Linked DNA regions of Saccharomyces cerevisiae S288C. The protein of the gene in region 3 interacts with the protein of the main gene of each other region in a biochemical or structural test. Each region holds a gene or a part of one and is shown on either strand. Other genes may lie near its edges.

Evidence for each region.
Region 1: the proteins of MCM7 (region 3) and PSF2 form a complex in vitro, tested with the Saccharomyces cerevisiae proteins (2 studies listed by BioGRID).
Region 2: the proteins of MCM7 (region 3) and TAH11 form a complex in vitro, tested with the Saccharomyces cerevisiae proteins (2 studies listed by BioGRID).

The regions. Positions count from the first base shown.
Region 1 is NC_001142.9:302,354-307,500, forward strand, and holds PSF2 (DNA replication protein PSF2), read right to left. Parts: upstream 3,510-5,147; coding exon 2,868-3,509; downstream 1-2,867. Other genes in the region: cohesin subunit SMC3, read right to left, coding at 1-496; JEM1 (Jem1p), read left to right, coding at 828-2,765; ARG2 (acetyl-CoA:L-glutamate N-acetyltransferase), read left to right, coding at 3,779-5,147. UniProt on the Saccharomyces cerevisiae protein: Functions as part of the GINS complex which plays an essential role in the initiation of DNA replication by binding to DNA replication origins and facilitating the assembly of the DNA replication machinery.
Region 2 is NC_001142.9:520,442-526,729, reverse strand, and holds TAH11 (Tah11p), read right to left. Parts: upstream 4,683-6,288; coding exon 2,868-4,682; downstream 1-2,867. Other genes in the region: CYC1 (cytochrome c), read right to left, coding at 66-395; ANB1 (translation elongation factor eIF-5A), read left to right, coding at 1,349-1,822; Hsp70 family ATPase SSC1, read left to right, coding at 5,128-6,288. UniProt on the Saccharomyces cerevisiae protein: DNA replication licensing factor, required for pre-replication complex assembly. Faithful duplication of the genetic material requires 'once per cell cycle' DNA replication initiation and elongation.
Region 3 is NC_001134.8:623,839-633,544, reverse strand, and holds MCM7 (DNA replication licensing factor MCM7), read right to left. Parts: upstream 7,774-9,706; coding exon 5,236-7,773; downstream 1-5,235. Other genes in the region: LDH1 (triacylglycerol lipase), read left to right, coding at 164-1,291; COS111 (Cos111p), read right to left, coding at 1,603-4,377; MIN7 (Min7p), read left to right, coding at 8,849-9,052; DER1 (derlin), read right to left, coding at 9,334-9,706. UniProt on the Saccharomyces cerevisiae protein: Acts as a component of the MCM2-7 complex (MCM complex) which is the putative replicative helicase essential for 'once per cell cycle' DNA replication initiation and elongation in eukaryotic cells.

The DNA.
Region 1 (5,147 bases), on a different chromosome or scaffold from region 3:
ATAACTGCAATCTTTCCTTATCCTTGGCATTAGTTAAGGCGACTATTTTACCTTGTGGTACTATATTATACGGATTATTCATTGAAAAACCAGCGGTTTCCAACATTCTGACTATGTCCCCTTTGGTCACGTTTCTGTCATTTAATTGATAGTCATCCTTCTTCAGCCCTACTGTTCTTCTAATGGTCACTTCGTCATCTCCTCTCGAAAGTACACCGGAGGGCAATATCATAGAATGATCTGGATCGTGGAACACAATTTCTACCGAGGCACTCATCACTGAACCACCAGAACCTTGGTGGATAAGCCCTTGCCTTTCTTCCCTCTTAAGATTAGAGTAATCGTCACTAAGAACAAATCTAATCGCAGCGAAGAAATTCGATTTACCTGAACCATTGGAGCCAATAATAACATTCTGATGCGGCGAGAAATTATCAATAATGGTTTCGTTCCTGTAGGTTTTAAAACCCTTAATTATCACCCTTTTGATATACATTGCAGACGTGAACTATTACCGTTACTCCAGCAGGTCGTCTTGTAAAAAAATGGTGAAACTGTTTAAAGATGAGGTTGAAAACTCATCTTTAATTAGTTTAATCATTTCCTAACGCGTCGCGTCTTTTCCTATTCCTGAGACTTTTTTTCTTTAGGTTCCTAATAGTGAAATGTGACAGGTGTACACTTCGATGGCAGGCAAAAATAGAGCCAAAACTGCTTATAAGTTATTCCAAGTGAAAGGAGTTGGTTGCGAGAAGGGCCCAGAAGGTTTCATTCATTGTTGGTTTAGTGTATTACTAAGGCCGATCTTAACGTCTACGAAACGAAGTATGATACTGATCTCGGGATACTGTCTTTTAGTGTATAGCGTTATTTTGCCAGTACTGATATCGGCTTCTAAGTTATGTGATTTGGCTGAGTTACAACGATTGAACAAGAATTTAAAAGTAGACACTGAATCCTTGCCAAAATACCAATGGATCGCTGGGCAGTTGGAACAAAACTGCATGACTGCGGATCCAGCAAGTGAAAATATGTCAGACGTAATTCAACTAGCCAATCAAATATACTACAAAATTGGGCTGATCCAATTATCCAACGATCAACATCTAAGAGCTATTAACACATTTGAAAAAATCGTTTTTAATGAAACTTACAAAGGTTCTTTTGGGAAGCTGGCGGAAAAGAGGCTACAAGAGCTGTATGTCGATTTTGGGATGTGGGACAAGGTGCATCAGAAGGATGATCAGTATGCGAAATATCTGTCCTTGAATGAAACCATCAGAAACAAAATATCATCCAAAGACGTTTCTGTGGAGGAAGATATTTCTGAGCTGCTACGCATAACGCCGTACGATGTTAACGTCCTCTCCACGCACATCGATGTTCTTTTTCACAAACTAGCTGAAGAAATTGACGTTTCGTTAGCTGCTGCTATCATTTTGGATTACGAAACAATCCTCGACAAGCATTTGGCTAGCTTAAGCATAGATACAAGACTTTCGATTCATTATGTCATATCTGTTTTACAGACCTTTGTACTTAACTCAGATGCGTCGTTCAATATAAGAAAATGCCTTTCCATTGATATGGACTATGATAAATGTAAAAAACTAAGCCTGACTATTTCCAAATTGAACAAGGTGAATCCATCAAAAAGACAGATCCTGGATCCAGCAACATATGCATTTGAGAACAAAAAGTTTAGAAGTTGGGATAGAATTATTGAATTTTATTTGAAGGATAAGAAGCCATTTATTACACCAATGAAAATTCTTAACAAAGATACAAACTTTAAAAACAACTACTTCTTTTTAGAGGAAATTATCAAACAATTGATAGAAGACGTTCAACTGTCGAGACCTTTGGCAAAAAATTTATTCGAAGATCCCCCAATAACCGATGGTTTTGTCAAACCAAAATCATACTATCATACCGATTATCTAGTATACATTGATTCCATTCTTTGTCAGGCTTCTAGCATGAGTCCGGACGTCAAGAGAGCTAAACTGGCTGCGCCGTTCTGTAAAAAGAGTTTGAGGCATTCACTAACACTAGAAACATGGAAACACTATCAGGATGCTAAGTCCGAGCAAAAACCTTTACCTGAGACGGTATTGAGTGATGTATGGAATTCCAATCCTCATTTGCTGATGTATATGGTAAACTCAATACTTAATAAAAGTAGGTCTAAACCTCATTCACAGTTCAAAAAGCAATTATATGACCAGATAAACAAATTTTTCCAAGATAACGGCCTCTCAGAGTCGACCAATCCATACGTGATGAAGAACTTCCGATTATTACAGAAACAATTACAAACCTATAAAGAGCATAAACATCGGAATTTCAACCAGCAATATTTCCAACAACAACAACAGCAGCAACAACACCAACGACATCAAGCACCCCCAGCAGCGCCTAACTACGACCCAAAAAAGGACTATTATAAAATTCTTGGAGTATCGCCTAGTGCTAGTTCGAAAGAAATAAGGAAAGCATATTTAAATTTAACCAAAAAATACCACCCAGACAAAATAAAGGCCAACCATAACGACAAACAAGAATCAATTCACGAAACTATGTCACAAATCAATGAAGCGTACGAAACATTAAGTGATGACGATAAAAGGAAGGAATACGATCTTTCCAGATCAAACCCCCGCCGCAACACTTTTCCTCAGGGGCCTAGGCAAAATAACATGTTCAAAAATCCAGGAAGTGGCTTCCCATTCGGAAATGGCTTTAAAATGAATTTTGGGCTTTGATGAAATACATTCTATGCCCATTAACTAGGATACCACAACAAGTACATATATATACATACGCATATCACTGAAAGTTCTAATTATTGCAAAGCCAGCACTTTTTTAAATATTGAATTCTTCTTCATCATTTTCAGTACCAGCGGTAAGAGATGCTGTGTGAATTTCTCGCAGTTTATCCATGATTTCAGTAATGAACGGCCTCAACTCATTGATTTCTAATAGACTTAAATTATCCAATTGTAAATGAGATTCATTCAAATACTTAAGGCCTTTTAACACTTTGATCTGCCTTATTTCCCTTAAGTCTTGTATTTTACCACGTAATTCGTGAATGGGGTCATGAAAATCATCCTTAGCTTTATTGAAAAGTATACGTGCCAAGACAAGCCAGTTCCACGGCAACTCACTAAACCTATCCGGATGAGTTTTCTCATATTGTATTTTTCTATCAAGCTCTTTCGTCGTTAACCACTGTGGTGCTACAATACTGCACTTGGATTGTTGCTTCAGTAATAGAGCGATCCAAAGAACCACTTCTGTAGAACGCATGGCTACCATATTATTTAAAGCTTTGTCATCTGTAGTAATAAGTTGCCAGCGGGTGTGGTTTCCAGTTCCTCTATCATCGCCACGAATTTTTTGGCGTGTTGTTATTCTGGGAAAAATCTTTATTGGCTCGTTTTCCACAATGAACTGTATTTCTTCTGGTGAGAAAGTCTGCTGCAAATGTGCCGGTAGTGACATGCGTCTATGAAACTAGTCTTATTTCAGATCAGCCGTTGATCCTCTCTAAGTATAAAACTCTTTTTTGTTAACCATTTCATAGTTACACTTTAGGCGACTGATTTTTCATTAAATGGAAAATATCACAAGAAATTTCACGCTGGAGAAAAAAAAGGTTAGTCATCACTGATCTTCCCATGGAGTCATAAGCACGTTCGACATAAATTGTGAAAGTTAACACATTTGAAGCTAGGACCGTCAATCTAGGACACTAGTCGGTTACTTTTATCATGTGGAGGAGAATATTCGCGCATGAACTCAAGTATGATCAACCCAATGCATCTTCAAAAAACTTGATCCTTTCAGTTCTGAATACAACCGCTACAAAACGAGAGGCTAAGGATTATCTCTCAAAATATACAAATGATAGTGGGCAGCATAATCATTGTTTGTTTTTTATCAGGGACCTGCATAAAGTCGCACCAGCGATTTTGTCCCAGTTTTCAAGTGTCATAAAGAGACTAGGAATGCTAGGTTTGCGACCTATGTTTGTAATTCCGCCGTCGCCAACTCATGTAAATATACAGGCAGAGTTACTTGACAGTATCGTTACAGAAGCAGATTTAAAGCCACTTCACCTTAAGGAGGGTCTTACTAAATCCCGCACTGGGTTATATCATTCTGTTTTTTCGCAAGAGAGTCGTTTCTTTGATATTGGAAATTCCAATTTTATACCAATTGTGAAACCTTATGTGTATAATGAAGAGACTGCTTCAGAATTCATGACAAAGGATGTTGTAAAATTTATGGATTGCCTGTGCCAAGGGAATATTCCACACATTGACAAATTCTTCATTCTAAATAATGCCGGAGGTATACCTTCGGGAGAGAGAAATGATAACGCTCATGTATTCATCAATCTTTCTCAGGAACTCGAGCATTTGTCCTCGTCATTATCTCACAATATAAGCACTCTAACCAAACGAGAGCCACGCTCCCAAAACCTGTTACACAGAATGGAGGTGTACGTTAAAAAAGATGAGATATCTTCCTTAGAATGTGAATACCATGATCATTTAGAAAACCTGTTATTGATGGACAAAGTTTTATCAAATCTAGCGGCTACAGCAACGGGACTGATTACAACTGTCAAAGCTGCCGCACTATCATCAGATAGGAAAAATCCTTTAGTATATAATTTATTGACAGACCGATCGCTAATTTCTTCTTCTTTACCAAGGTTTAAAAAAAAGGACGGCGAGATAGACTCACCAGCCAACATGTTTGATGATCACGCATGGTATGAATTGCCTTCCCAACAGGTAAATGCAGCTCCTTCTAACTCAGATGCAGTTTTAGTGACAACTGTTCTCAAAAAGGGCGTCCATATCAAAACTTATGACTATAAGACGCTGACTCAATTCAACTCAATTGGGCTTCCAAAGAAGTTTCACGTACCTGAGAAAGGAGCAAAACCCTCGAGCAATAGTCCAAAACTAGATATCAACAAATTTAAATCCATCATCGATCAGAGCTTTAAAAGATCTTTGGATTTGCATGACTACATAAAAAGGATTAATGGAAAAATAGCTACAATTATTGTGATAGGTGATTATGAAGGCATTGCAATTCTTACCTATGAAGGCTCGGAGGAAAATT
Region 2 (6,288 bases), on a different chromosome or scaffold from region 3:
GGAGGGCGTGAATGTAAGCGTGACATAACTAATTACATGATATCGACAAAGGAAAAGGGGCCTGTTTACTCACAGGCTTTTTTCAAGTAGGTAATTAAGTCGTTTCTGTCTTTTTCCTTCTTCAACCCACCAAAGGCCATCTTGGTACCAGGAATATATTTCTTTGGGTTAGTCAAGTACTCTGACATGTTATTTTCGTCCCACAACACGTTTTTCTTGATATTGGCATCTGTGTACGAATACCCTTCAGCTTGACCAGAGTGTCTGCCAAAGATACCATGCAAGTTTGGACCAACCTTATGTGGGCCACCCTTTTCCACGGTGTGGCATTGTAGACATCTAGTCTTGAAAAGTGTAGCACCTTTCTTAGCAGAACCGGCCTTGAATTCAGTCATTATTAATTTAGTGTGTGTATTTGTGTTTGTGTGTCTATAGAAGTATAGTAATTTATGCTGCAAAGGTCCTAATGTATAAGGAAAGAATATTTAGAGAAAAGAAGAAAACAAGAGTTTTATATACATACAGAGCACATGCATGCCATATGATCATGTGTCGTCGCACACATATATATATGCCTGTATGTGTCAGCACTAAAGTTGCCTGGCCATCCACGCTATATATACACGCCTGGCGGATCTGCTCGAGGATTGCCTACGCGTGGGCTTGATCCACCAACCAACGCTCGCCAAATGAACTGGCGCTTTGGTCTTCTGCCATCGTCCGTAAACCCCGGCCAAAGAGACCGGAAAGATCGGTGAAAACATCTTGATCTTGCTCCCGGGAATTTTAGATTCAGGTAGGAAATTGATTACATCAATACTGTTACCCTGAATCATATTCGACGATGTCGTCTCACACGGAAATATAATTCATTTCTTGGTTTTCCAAAAAAATTTTCATTTTTTTTCACTTTTTTGTTTCGTCCTCCTTTTTTTTTTTTTTTTTTTATTTTTTTTCCTGTGTTCACCTTTTTTTTTTTCAGTTGACATCTTTCTGCATTCTTTTCTGTGTTTTTTTTTTTTTTTTTCGTTTTTCCATTGTTCGTTCGTTGCCTGTTTTTTCGCCCTATTGTTCTCGAGCCTAAAAATTTTTTCCTTTCCTGCTTTCCTTTCTTCGTTCAAAGTTTCCTATTCCATTGTTCTCTTTGGTAAACTCATTGTTGTCGGAACTCAGATATATTCAGGTCAATTTACTGTACTTCAATTGACTTTTTTCTTGAAATTTCAACTTGCCTTTTCAACTTGTTCTTCTTTTTTAATCTTATTCTACACTTTAGTTCCCTTACCTTGTTCCTAATTATTGTCTAGCAAAAAGAAAACATACACCTATTTCATTCACACACTAAAACATGTCTGACGAAGAACACACCTTTGAAAATGCTGACGCTGGTGCCTCCGCCACCTACCCAATGCAATGTTCTGCCTTGAGAAAGAATGGTTTCGTTGTCATCAAAGGTAGACCATGTAAGATTGTCGACATGTCCACTTCCAAGACCGGTAAGCACGGTCACGCCAAGGTCCATTTGGTTACCCTTGATATCTTCACTGGTAAGAAGTTGGAAGATTTGTCTCCATCCACTCACAACTTGGAAGTTCCATTTGTCAAGAGAAGCGAATACCAATTGTTGGATATTGATGATGGCTACTTGTCCTTGATGACCATGGACGGTGAAACCAAAGACGATGTCAAGGCACCAGAAGGTGAATTGGGTGACAGCATGCAAGCTGCTTTCGATGAAGGTAAGGATTTGATGGTCACTATCATTTCTGCCATGGGTGAAGAAGCTGCCATCTCCTTCAAGGAAGCTCCAAGATCTGATTAGATATTTTAGATTTCTATAGCTTACAAAATACGCGATGTTTTTTTGATCTAGAAATCTTATTTATACATTTTATATAATATTATAATAATCATAATCATAATTATTCATCCTAACTAACTTCGTTCTGTTTCAGCTACGAAGTTGCCTTCATTATCGCTACGTTCGTGTTAATTGGTGTTTGATACCATAGTCACTTATGACGACGTGCAGAACTTTTTTTTTTGACGGATATTTTCCCCTCAATATGCCGAGGATGATTACTTTATAATTTGCCTTCTTTCGGTTCCTTCTTCTTTTTAATTTAGCTGACGGGAACATGTGTATATACCCCAGAAGAATTTAAACAGAAATTTTTTTGAGCATTTTACGAAAATATTAAAAACTAGGGCTACAGATATCAGAGAAAAAATTACTTATATGATGACAATAACTTAATATCACAGTCACTATCGTTCTCGCCTTTATATGCGCAGTGACAGCATTCGACTTTTCCTTGGAAGGGACCCGATCAACGAAACTTCAAAAAGAGTAGAAGTCAAAATATTTTTTGCACGACGAGGGTGACAGACCGTGCTATGTCCACAAATGAGGCCCTGCTTTCCCAAGATAAATTGCGTAAACATATAATTGTTACAAATCCAAGGCTCTGTGATTTCTTCACCAAGTGTAGTTGTGATGTATGATGTGTAGGATAAGTAATGACCGGTAAATCAAGCTGGTAAAAAGTCCTAATAACAAGCCCGAATCTGGAATAATGGTAATATTCCCATGCCAGGTGGACAGTGTTGTCCTTAAACAAACTCAAGAGATTAAAGGCAACTTGGCCGAGTGGTTAAGGCGAAAGATTAGAAATCTTTTGGGCTTTGCCCGCGCAGGTTCGAGTCCTGCAGTTGTCGTTATTTTTTATTTCCCTTTCTTTTCGTACATACACAATGCACAGTCTTCAAAGTAAAATACCAACGTATGTATCAAGATCAATTTTTTTTCTTTTTTTTTTTTTTTTACCGTAAATGTACGTATTCTACCTTATATCTAAAAATATTCTTCAATCTTGTTGTTTTGATTTGTGGATTTGCAACAGCTTAGAAAATCTGTTTTTATCCAAACTGTTCCATCTATAAACTTTTAACCCACCATCCACTTGATGAACAGATATGTCCATTGGTAGGATACCTTGTAGCCCAGCTAAAATTTCACTTGCTTCTTTTGTACCGATAGGATTATTACTATCTTGTAAACTATCTACGATTAGCGAGCTTAGATATGTCTCTGTATAAGGCTGGCCCCTGGTCAGCGAAAAAAGAATATCAAATACCTGAGTCATTTTCATCGCTAGAAACTGCTGGTAACGTTTTTGCCTTTGAGAAAGCAATGCGGCCGAACGTCTCTCTCTTTCACGCAGTCTGTCCATAAGGTTTGCTTGCGAATCAGGCATCTTCTCTTTGTACATGAAATTTTCCTTACTATTCGCCAAATATCTTGAGTTATTCAAGGCATTAGCATTAGAGCTCTTCGTTTGCACTTTACTGCTCAAGACTGTTTTAGAATTAGAGCTGGACCTTCTTTTATTTATTTTGAAAGCGGGTACATCAGTCATAATCTCATCCTTGGAAGCTATCACTTGTTGGTACCACGACTCTGCCCTTTCCACGAATGCCAAAGTCCTAGACTTATTGGTCAACGTTGTTAGATTGTCTCTTTTGGGTAGATTCATGGTCAGCTCCCCTCTAGAGTTCAGTTCCACTACGTATGCATCAGACCAAATGGTCAATAACTTCAAAATATCATCCTGCACTATTTTCCTTTTCATCATGCTGGATATCTGGGGTAACAAAACGTGCAGCTCTGGTGGGACGCCCGTGGATCTGGAAAGAGCGTTTAAAGACAATACAGTCTCGCAAACAGTAAACAACTCCTTAACAAACTTCATTGCGTCTTGGAGTCTTAGAATACTAAGCTCCCGTGGGTAGTATTGCTGAGCGACTTTTGGGAAAGCCTTAATTTGTTGCTCCAACAAATGATTGGCAATCGTACCCTCTCCTTTACTCGAGATTGGCGTAGTAAGTGGAGGCCAGATGGTCAACGAAACAATGTTCGCACGAGGATCTATCTGGAGTGGTGAGGTAGTGTGCATACCTTGAGACCAGCGCGCAAGGAGGGTCCCCGTGTGGAACAGAAGACAATCGGGTTCATCAATACTCACCCAAGAATTGTCCGTCGTCGCCATAGTCGATGGCTTGTACCTTATAGCCTTGGCACAGGGGAAGATGGTCAACACGCCCGTCGGAAGAAAAGTAACATAGTCCCTTTCAAACAGGTACTGGAAATCGTCGCCAGTGGGCAGCACGGTAGCACCTGCATCTGCACCATCGTGTGTACTACCATTATCATTGAAATAACGGGTCAGCTTAGTCGCATAATGAGAGGTGCTGATACAGTCTTGCAATTCTGCGCTAGAAACCACACTTTTCACACACAGTTGGGCGAAAAACAGACCCAGTTTGAACAGCCTACTATATATGGAGCACAGTGACTCATTCCTGCACTTCCGATCGAAGCGTAATTGAGGATCAGTGTCAAATATGTACTGCTCCAGCCAAACATCATCTTCTAGCGGTAATGTACCCGTAAAGTTCGCATCAAAACCTTGACTCGTGTCAGGCAGGTCCTTTGTCGTGAGCCCCGCTAGTAGTGCATCTAGAACAGCCTTGTTAGCATAATTTTTTAACAGAAAGGTGTCATGCTGTAGCAAAATTGCCCTCACCACCGGCAACAGCTGCTCTTCATCTGAAACTCTATTCAAATCTATCACAGGCACGCGCAAAACCTCCTTCCTCCTACTATTAGCTGTGCCACTCATAAATCACGACGCTACGTAGTTCAGCTCACTGTCATGATACCAACTACCGCAACTAACATCTGCTTATATTAAACTCTTCCGCATCATCGCAATGGTACAATGTGCTAAAGCTAGTGCCTTAGATGCGCTGAATAATTGTATATCACCCACAACGGCAGAGCTTTTCCATGGGCTTCGGCCCGGTTCCACCGCCCCCTGCCTCTTTTTCCGGTGACCGCTTACGGTGCGGTGTATAAAAACGAACGATCCAACGCCGGCTCGACGCTTGGGAACTTTTGGGTTCTTTGTTCCACGTTTGAAAACTCCATACGTTGCTGTCCTCCTCTGCCTGCTGTACATATCGACGCCCCGCTGCTCACCAACCTTTGCCAGAGTGACAACTTTTGTATTTACGACCCATTTAATATAATTAAGACTACACAAATCTCATATTATACGCACCAAGATGCTTGCTGCTAAAAACATACTAAACAGGTCAAGCTTGTCTAGCTCTTTCCGTATTGCCACACGTTTGCAGTCAACCAAGGTTCAAGGTTCCGTCATCGGTATCGATTTGGGTACCACCAACTCTGCGGTTGCCATTATGGAAGGTAAAGTTCCAAAAATTATTGAAAACGCCGAAGGTTCCAGAACTACTCCTTCTGTAGTAGCTTTCACTAAAGAGGGAGAACGTTTGGTTGGTATTCCAGCCAAGCGTCAAGCCGTAGTGAACCCAGAAAACACCCTATTTGCTACCAAGCGTTTGATTGGTCGTCGTTTCGAAGACGCTGAAGTGCAAAGAGATATCAAGCAAGTTCCATACAAGATCGTCAAGCACTCCAACGGGGATGCTTGGGTTGAGGCCAGAGGTCAAACTTACTCACCAGCCCAAATCGGTGGGTTCGTCTTGAACAAGATGAAGGAAACAGCTGAGGCCTACTTGGGTAAGCCAGTTAAGAATGCTGTTGTCACTGTCCCAGCTTATTTCAACGACTCTCAAAGACAAGCTACTAAAGACGCAGGCCAAATTGTTGGTTTGAACGTTTTACGTGTCGTCAATGAACCAACCGCCGCTGCCTTAGCTTACGGTTTGGAAAAATCCGACTCTAAAGTTGTTGCCGTTTTCGATTTGGGTGGTGGTACTTTCGATATCTCCATCTTAGATATTGACAACGGTGTTTTTGAAGTTAAGTCCACTAACGGTGACACTCATTTGGGTGGTGAAGATTTCGACATCTATTTGTTGAGAGAGATTGTTTCTCGTTTCAAGACCGAAACTGGTATTGATTTGGAAAATGACCGTATGGCTATCCAAAGAATTAGAGAAGCTGCTGAAAAGGCTAAGATTGAGCTATCTTCTACCGTTTCCACTGAAATCAACCTGCCATTTATCACTGCTGATGCCTCAGGTCCAAAGCATATCAACATGAAGTTCTCCAGGGCTCAATTCGAGACTTTGACAGCCCCACTAGTTAAGAGAACTGTCGACCCAGTCAAGAAGGCTTTGAAAGACGCCGGTTTGTCTACTTCAGACATATCTGAAGTCTTATTGGTCGGTGGTATGTCCAGAATGCCTAAGGTTGTCGAAACCGTTAAATCTTTGTTTGGTAAGGACCCATCTAAGGCC
Region 3 (9,706 bases):
TTACGTTGTTTTCTTCGAAAAGTTTCAAGAGGACGCGCCATTCTTTTAACCCGGCAATTTTAAAGGGTTCATTAATAAAGAACTACCAAGATGGTACAGTCGCATTTGGATCGTAACTCAACGTTAGAAGAAAGCCTTAAACCGAGAACTTTTTCTCTTGGTAATGAATATGGCAGAACGTGCAGAAGCAACAAAAAGTTGGTCCTGTGAGCCCCTTTCTGGAAAGACGCTAGAAGAGATTGTTCAAAATGCAGAAAATGCAGCTGATTTGGTAGCTTACATTCGCAAACCAGAGGTAGATTTGGACTTTAGGTTGAAGTTTATCGCAGAACATGAGGAGTTTTTTAATGTACAACTATCGGATCGAAATTCAAGAATAAGGACGTGTCACAACTTGAGCGATAAAGGGATACGGGGTGATACTGTTTTCGTCTTCGTGCCTGGGTTGGCTGGCAACTTAGAACAATTTGAACCCTTACTCGAGCTTGTGGACTCTGATCAAAAGGCATTTTTGACGTTAGATCTGCCCGGCTTTGGTCATAGTTCAGAATGGAGCGACTACCCCATGCTGAAAGTGGTGGAACTTATTTTCGTTCTTGTATGTGACGTCTTAAGAAAATGGTCTACAGCGGTGCCGAATAATGATAACGTAAATCCATTTAACGGTCATAAGATAGTGCTTGTAGGGCATTCTATGGGTTGTTTTCTGGCATGTCATCTTTACGAGCAGCACATGGCTGATACAAAAGCGGTACAAACGCTAGTTTTGTTGACGCCCCCCAAAGCACATATCGAGCAGCTTTCTAAGGATAAACATATTATCCAGTGGGCTCTCTATGGTGTGTTTAAATTGCCATGGCTATTTGACGTTTATAGAAACAAATTCGATCAGGTAAAAGGTCTACAAAGTTCCGGCATCAAGCAGTATTTTTATCAACAAGGTGATGATGTCAAGTTGAAATACAGGAAGTTCTGGCAATTTAAAAACAACATAAGCAACAAAAGTAGAACCATCATAGGTTATTTACTAGGATGGGAAACTGTTGATTGGGTTAAATTCAATGGTGTATTGACGCAAACGGATATGAAACAGAAAATTATAATATTTGGCGCTGAAAAAGATCCTATAGCTCCTATTGAAAATTTGGAATTTTACAAACAAACTATAAATAAAGAATGTCTTCGTAAAGTGATTATTTTACCTGACTGTTCTCATAATTTATGCTTCGACCGTCCAGAATTGGTGTGTGAAAACTTTCAACGAGAGGTGATTGATAATTCCAAATTGTAGAAGGTTTTCTAGATTTCACATTGCGTAACTAGATTTTCGTGCACACTGCTACATGAATTGATAAAACAAACCAGAAAAAGTAACTAAGACCAATATTTTCAAATTTTTCATAGTATACTTTATATCGTACATCTTACAAGCAAAAATCAAAGGTAGTGTCTATGTATGCAAAAAAATAGGAAACGAAAAATAAATATAAATAAATAAAGCCATGAAATGTAGAAAGGCTATGCAAAAAAGAAAAAAATAAACATCAATAATATTTGGCCAAATAAATTAACAGAACGTATGCTGTTAAAAGAGAGCAGTCGTTATATGATGCTTTCAGCATAGTAGTTATTTTCGCCAACATTTCTCCTTAGATCAACTCTCCTCAACTCCTTTAACCTACTAATCAAATTGTGTGTAATACTGTCTATTCTCAAAGTTGGTTTTCCAACTTTCATTTTGTCCATATCAATGTCATCATCCACACATAATTTAACCACTAAAGAAACATAATCTTTGGAAACTTTTGTGAGCCAAAATGAAGTTGGCTTTTCTGTTTTTAATATTGTCAACCTGAATTGTAAAGATTCTGCTTCGAGATTGGAATCAGAAGTAGCATCAGCCTCAGATCCGGCCCCATATCTAATATCAAATAAGTTTGATATTTCGAGAATATCCGGGTCTCGGCAACAATAGTTTTTTATATATAGCTTTTCGGACTTGATATTAAAAAGCTCTTCTAATCCTAAATCATCTAAATTTGAAAGATGATCCATAACCATCAATGCGACAAATTCATGCAATTTGGCATTACAAGCCCAGGAAAAATTTCTATCCAAGCCAGAGTCCCGGAAACTGAATAAGTGTCTTTCATAAGAGTTGTTTTCCATGGATTTATAATCCAAATGCTGGCGAAACGTCCTCATTACAAAATACTTTACCATATATTGCCTGCACCACACAATGTCATTCATTTTCACCTTAGTTAAGGAGCAGTAGCCACCTTTTTCTTCATTTCTATTGCAGATCATTTCAAAAATTTCAAAAGGGTTTAGCTTCTTTAATACGACGTTCTTATTGTTCAAGGTATTGTTGCGTCTGTGTTCCTCTCTTGTTTTCGTTTGTGCATCGATTGGAGGTGGGTAATCTGTCCAATTCGCCTGACCTCCAATCCAACTAGATGGATTGGTACCTAGGCTTGAAGAACGTGAGTGTTTCTTGCTTAACCCCTCATAATATTCATAACCTTTGCCAGAATCGGTCATATAGACAATTTCTAAATCTTTCTCAGGGCCTGCAGAAACACTAGACTCCTGGACAGCGGGCAACAGTGAAGATGTCATCCTTCTTCTTTCGGATCTTTGGTTGATTAATTTGAAATCGGTACAAATAACTAAATTGGAAAGGTTTAGTTCAACAAGGTTAGGACACAGGTTCAGCATATGTAAAATATAACCTAGGGGCAGATCTTTATAAGGAGCGTACTTTAAAAGAAATTTGTTGGCATACGGATGATGCGTACTAAATGGTTGTTCAATGCTAAATTTTAATGTCGAAGAACGATAATTGGATGGATGCCCCGAATCGTGCTTTAAAACTTTAAAGTCATCGTCAGACTTATCCTTCGAGTTCTTTAAATTAATCGTATTAGCTGTCCTTGCCTTTCTATTTCTTGAACTTAACCTCATTCTAAACCAGGAAGATGACGTAATGTCAGATATAGGTTTTGCTTTCTGAGGAGATGACCTTGTGGACTTCGCAGAAGCTTTTTTCAATGATCCAGCAGTGGAAACTCTTGACAGATTACTACCAGAAGAGATGTTACCATTGCTGGTATTAGACGTGGTTGAAGACAATGAGACATGGGAGGTGTTATAGATGGATGACATGATACTCGTCGTTATGGAAGCAACGGAACTATTGGAACGTTGTCTCCTTGTAGAGTGAACACCGGTGGAATTTCCAGAAGATGTAGAAGTGATAGAAGAAGAACGAGAAACCACTTTTTTCAGTTTAAAGCTGTTCAACAGAGGAGAGCTATAAAGGGGTTCATTTCTGTATCTCCAGTCTCTCCAACCAGCTAATGCCAAGTCTTCAACTTCACTGCCATTTGAAGCGTCGTCTTTGATTAATCCGCTATTGGCATCATCCTCGTTAGAAATGGTAGATGTTGGAGTAGCTGGAGGTAGATTCAAACTTGTGTTAGTAGATCTGCGGCGACGGCGTCTGTGACGCCTTGAGTGGCCATCATCGTCTAGGCCTTGAGAATCCTTCGAGTCTTGGCCTATAATTCCCGGCTTCAAGTGTGATAGGTCCAATACTTTCACGTATGCCCCGTTATCCGGATGTAATCTTAGTGAGGTGACAAACTGCGCCACTCTGTAAGTGGAAGTGAAGTAAGGTAGCCTATAAAGGACGATCTTTGTCGCCTTATAAAACTTCTTCGATACGTATAGACATCTTACGAGTGTCTTTTGATCACGACCTAACTCGAATTCAGAAAGTATTTTGGCAATTATTTCAACTGGTAAATCGTTGATATCGGCAAATTTGCCCCAAGCATGGTATTTTCTCTTCCTCAGCTTTTCAAATCTGGAATTTTCATGTTTACCAGAATGGGAAGTCTTCAGAGAAAATATAGAAAATGAGTCGGATGAAGCACCATGATCGTACAATTTATTCATAAATTTTTTTGAAGAGGTGGAGATTAAGGATTTATACTTTTTTTTAATCCTTGATTTCCTTGAATTCATCGTTATGATAGTTTCATTATCTAAAGATGTGACGTCGTCACTGCGTCTCTGACCTATGGAAGCCAAATCATCAGGAGCGCTGGATTGATTTTGATTGCTGAGTGGAGATTTGAACGTCGATAAGGGTGATTGACTCATTGATCTGGAGCAATTTGAGCCATGACGCTGTTTGCTCCTGGACTTTTGTGAGATAGATGACAGTTTACCAACTGTGGTAGAATTCTTACCAGCATTATTGCTACCACTGCCGTTACTATGATACAACTTATCGTAAACGGAAGTTCCGTAACGAGAATAGTTGTTAGAAACAATATTGACGTTTTGAAGTCTTGAAGCACTTGACATCAATACACTCGACCTTGTTTAGTGTACCTTTTTTTCTTTCTCCTTTTCCCCTCTTGCTTCGAGTGTCTATATAGTTCCTCCCCGCAAATATTCTTCAGCTAAAAATACTATCGTCCGGGATTTTCAAGAATAAAAAAATATCTTCAAATATAATCTAGTAAACGGAATAAAATAGGACTACCGTACTGAGCGGACAGGTTTGTAAAGGTTATATTAGTTTGAGAGTGGGACTATATATATATAGACTATATAAATATATATATATATATACTTATATTTTTGACAGTAGGGATGGAGATCGATGAATGTTGCCTTCACATGTTAATGAATGAAAAAAATTTTACTGTCTGCGGGTCCCCTAAAAGTCCTCTTGGCGATAACAGAATGGGTGCCGGCAGGTATCTCAAATTCGGATTATTATCAAGCGCTACGAATTATTCTGAGAACAATCTTTTCATTTTCTGGAAGAACTCCGCACGGTGTACTCTCTGGTATACTCAGGGGCTGACGGTACCCTGTAGCACGGCTCTCCACAGGCACATCTGAGCAATACTAGCTGGCCCTATTCCGCTTGAAGATAATTTTCCTTTCTCCGCAAAAAAAAAAAAACAAGAATTGGGCCGCGGTGCACGGACATGCGCAGTCATAATGTTAAGTCCGAAATGTGTGGGGTCTGTGGCTGGCAAAAGCGATGAATAATATTAGTAAAATTATAATAATACAGAATACATATCTTGAAAACTGGGCCTTGGAAGTAAGTTACAGAAGGTAAATTTGAATGTGCAGCTATATGGAAATGAAAAAAAGGGGGAAAAAGAATAAAGAATGAAGGCCCTGTTGCTTTTTTTTTTAGAACTTTCAAGCGTCTTGTAGATCGATATCAGAATCTTGGGCGCTCACATTAGCGGAAGCGGTCGTTTGTGGTGCGAGTTTAGGCGTGCTCACTAGTGAGTCTTCCTGGTCTGTGTCCATGGTACCGTCATCCACGAATTTCAAAGTGTTACCCTCATTAATTAAATGCCAGACGTTTAAGTAAGAATATTCTTGGATACAGTTGCTTAATTGTAGCATGGTAAACCCTCTTAGTCTTACAGTTTTCACAATATTTTCATATGATAGCGTGTTTTTACCAGTTTCTTGTAACATTTTCTTGATGATCGTAAAGATTTTCGTTGTGGGGCTTTCATCTTCTTTAGATTTGTTGGTTTCTTGATACAATGATTCCTTGGAGACTCGGACCAACCTCAAGGCTTCCTCCACATCATCTATATCCACCATATCAGCCAACCTTAACTTTGCTAGCGCTTGAGATAATCTTATAATACCTAGTAAAGTTCTCGGAGTGGCTTGACCAAAGGAAAATTTGGAATCCATTTCTCTCTTGGAGTCTTGTCTTAATCTGATGTAAGCTTGCACCACATAATCGTTTACAGCTTCACTCATCACTGGCCTCTTTGTCTTAGCATAGGCAATGTACTCTCTCATTTTAGAGGGTTCTACTGGAGTGAAGTCCAAATCCGGTTGTTTATTATGCATATGCACATATGTAACGTGCTCGGCTAATTTTTCGTCGTCATCTCTACTTGGTATATCTAACATTAAGAAGAGAATATCAAATCTGGATAGTAAAGCAGCTGGTAGATTTATATTGTCCAGAGGTGATAATCTAGGATTATATCTACCATACAACGGATTTGCTGCCGCTAAGATTGAGGTTCTGGCGTTCAAAGTTGTATTGATACCCGCCTTGGATATCGAAATTGTTTGTTGTTCCATAACTTCATGGATTGCCGTTCTGTCACTTTCATCCATCTTATCAAATTCATCGATACAACAAATACCGTTATCAGCGAGTACTAAGGCACCACCTTCTAGAATCATTTCATCCGTGACAGGATCTTTCATGACGGCAGCGGTCAGACCAACGCCTGAGGAACCCTTACCAGTGGTATACACTCCTCGAGGTGATATTTTGCAAATGGCCTTCAGCAGTTGAGATTTGGCAACACCGGGATCACCCATCAGACAAACATTGATATCACCTCTGATTTTCATACCGTCACCTACCCTTTTATCAACACCTCCGACAAGTAATAGCAGCAACGCTTTCTTTACGTCCAAGTTACCGTAGATTTCCGGTGCAATAGATTTTGCCAGCCTATTATAAACATCACCAGAGGTGATTAATTCCATAACTCTCTCTTCTACATCAGAAGTCAGACTGAAAGACGCAAATTTCTTCTTGTGTTGACGGACAAACTGTGCCTCTAAATAAGTTTCTGTCAGTAAGCCAGCTTTCAAAGCTTTGAAACCGGTGTAGGGCGCTGGCAAGAATATACCAGTTACATCGACGATATCACCAGGCGATAAAGATCTTACCAGCGTCCCGTTAACGTGGATATTTAGCGACCTAGGAATATGACCCACTGGCACTTGTTGTGATAACTCCTGAATTTTACATTCCTGAAAGGCACTAAATTTGGAAGCTCGTGTACTCATAAACAATTGACCCTTTGTTTGATTTTGGGAACATTCTTCGGAAGTACATTCTGACAACGGAGTAAAAGTACGAGAGTTGACCTCTTGGAAAACTTCGTACCCACATTGATCGCAGGTATATGCGATAACTTCCACAGCTGGTTTGACATCAGAAACTCTGGTGATAATACCTCTGACGGTAATCAATTGGCCTAGGAAGTCACCTTTAATCTGCCTAACAGATAATGGTTTAGAACTAATTGCTTTCTTCCTGTAACGACGAGCACAATTTTGCGATAGAGGCTTAAAATAAAGGAAATAGCGTCTAGTTAAATTAGGAGGAAATAACTCAGTTTCATCCTCGACAACTTCTCTTAACGCATCATTCATGGAAGAGGGTGGATCCATCGTGGTATCCATGAGGTTTTCGCTTCGGATCTCATTGGTCCTGTCCGAGAGCATTCTCTCATTCCTCAGTCTCCTTTGGTTTAAAATAACATCAAGAACGTCGTCCTTGTAGTCAATTTCTTTTGTTGGTAGCGGCATGTTGTTGTCAATGGCACGGCAAAATAATTCAGTGAAGTGATTAGCGTTTTGTTGAATGGCAGACACAAGGTCGTCTGCCTGTGTGCCCTGGAGAAACTTTTCGTTTTGATACTGTAGAATGTCATCTAAATCAATAATCACGGAATTCAGTTCCCTATTAGCCACTTTCTGTAGCATCGCCATGTACTTGGGCCCCTTTTCCAATAGATGTTGTTCGATATTCTCAGCATCCAAATTTTCATCTTCGTTCTCATTTCGTGTTGCATCAGAAGACAACGTATCCTGCTTGAAAGTCACCAAAAAATCGGTGATTTCATTAAAAAGATTATTATAGTCGACAGGAAGCTGAATTGATGGAAGTGCCGCACTCATAATCTGGTCTATCTGTATTGAGTTCTTCCTGCAAGATTCAAGCTAATCTAGGTAGTGATTATATTGCCTTTCTAAATGTAAGTTATTGGTAAAGACGTGTATGTAGCCTGCTACTGTAGTACATCTCGCTCTGGTCCTTTGCTTGTATCTCACTTTCGTGAAAAAAGAAGCAAACCGACTTAATGAATTGCATTTATTTTCCTTATAAGGAAATTTCCTTTCTGGGTAAATTAGTTAAGAAAAATTTTTTCGAGGCCGTGAAAAACGCGAAGGCTTATACAATGTATTATGAGTGAGTAATAAGTAGCATTCAAGGGTAGAAGGGGCCTCGACCTGTTATTGAGAAAATATACAAGAAGCGCTTATTATATTCGAGTAGCGGCTACGTTGACCTAGCAGGTATCCCGTGGGTAATAGTTTAAGTTATGACATTCACACCACTTTAGAATTTACTTACTCTTTTACCCTCTCTGTCTCTCGTAGGGTACATTTCTTTGTGCTTCTATTCTGTTGCTCTCAGACAAATTTGGAAGTTTTACAGTAAATTATTTTTACTCTTTTCCTTGTCGTCGTAATCAGTGAGGTATCCTGCCTGGTACCTTCCCCTCATTTTTGTACGAAGTATAAACAAAAGCACGGAAAAGGGGAAGCTAAGGAAAGTGAACACCTGTGCTTCGCATTGTTTGCTGCGATTAAAAAAGGTAATACAAAGGCAACTTTAAGCTTTTGTACCGTATCGGCCTATCATAATAGAGAGCCCGCGCACTTCCTAAGAAAGGCAGTTCGTTGCAACTCTCCGGTGGTTTCTTCGCCACTGCAAGGAAGACAATAGCTCGAGAAGGTCATTATTGTTGGAAATATGTTAATTACCATAGCAACAGCAAAATATTCCTAATTCTCAGAGTTATATAAGCAGGGTATATAATAGGCCATCTGCAAACGGACACCAAGTTTTTTTTCTTCTTTCCTCTCCTCTCCTCTCTTTTATATTCCACATTTATTCCCTGTGACAAGGCGAAAACCAAGAATTTTTTTGTAATATATAGGAAATATCACAAAAGATCGAGGACTAACAATGCTGGCCATGAAATCATTTTCACAAGTTTCTAAATCATACAAGGCAAGTGCTCCCAGTAAAAAGCTGACGACGTTGTTTTATGTTGCTTACATCACTCTGGGACTAACAACACCTTTCCTTCTACCGGCCCGAATGGCTTCTAAAGACACACACTACTACAAGGACGAATTTTGTTCTCAACGATCATACACCAGGTTTTAGAGTCTTTCGAAAATATGGGTTATCATTAGGGAGAAAATTACCGAGACTTTTTCGGCTACTTATTTATTCTGCATTTATACATTTGAGACAGGTTCTTCATATTATTTTTAGTTTGTGGGATTGCAGTTTTAACTGTACTGTTTTCACATCTTTCATTCATTCTAGTCAACGTTTCATTTATCCTTGGCCTATTTTATATGTAGTTATTTATGCTAAGTATGTTTGTTTATCAAGCGTTCACTTTTGTTATTGGTTTTTGGTAAATAAAAACGGCCTTTCCTTTAGGGTGTTTCAGTGTTGCGGAACCAGTCGTACGGAGATTTACACAAATCGATGCCATAAATCTTCCCTATTATATCATCCATGTAGTAAATTACGTGACCTGGCATGAAATTCATGGCAATTTCTAACCAGCTACGCTTATATACAAAATACATTACTGCATTCATGTAGATTGGGAATATAGATGGTGAAACATCAATGGCACCGAAGAATCGTACGTTCATTTGGTTTCCGTTCTTTTTCAGTTCGTAGTACACGAGATTCTCATGCAATAACACACCGAGTGATGCTGCAGGTTGTTCAATGCTGGTCATCTTTACCAGTATCACCAACAGTAAAAATATTATCCAACAGAATTTTCTTCTCAGATTG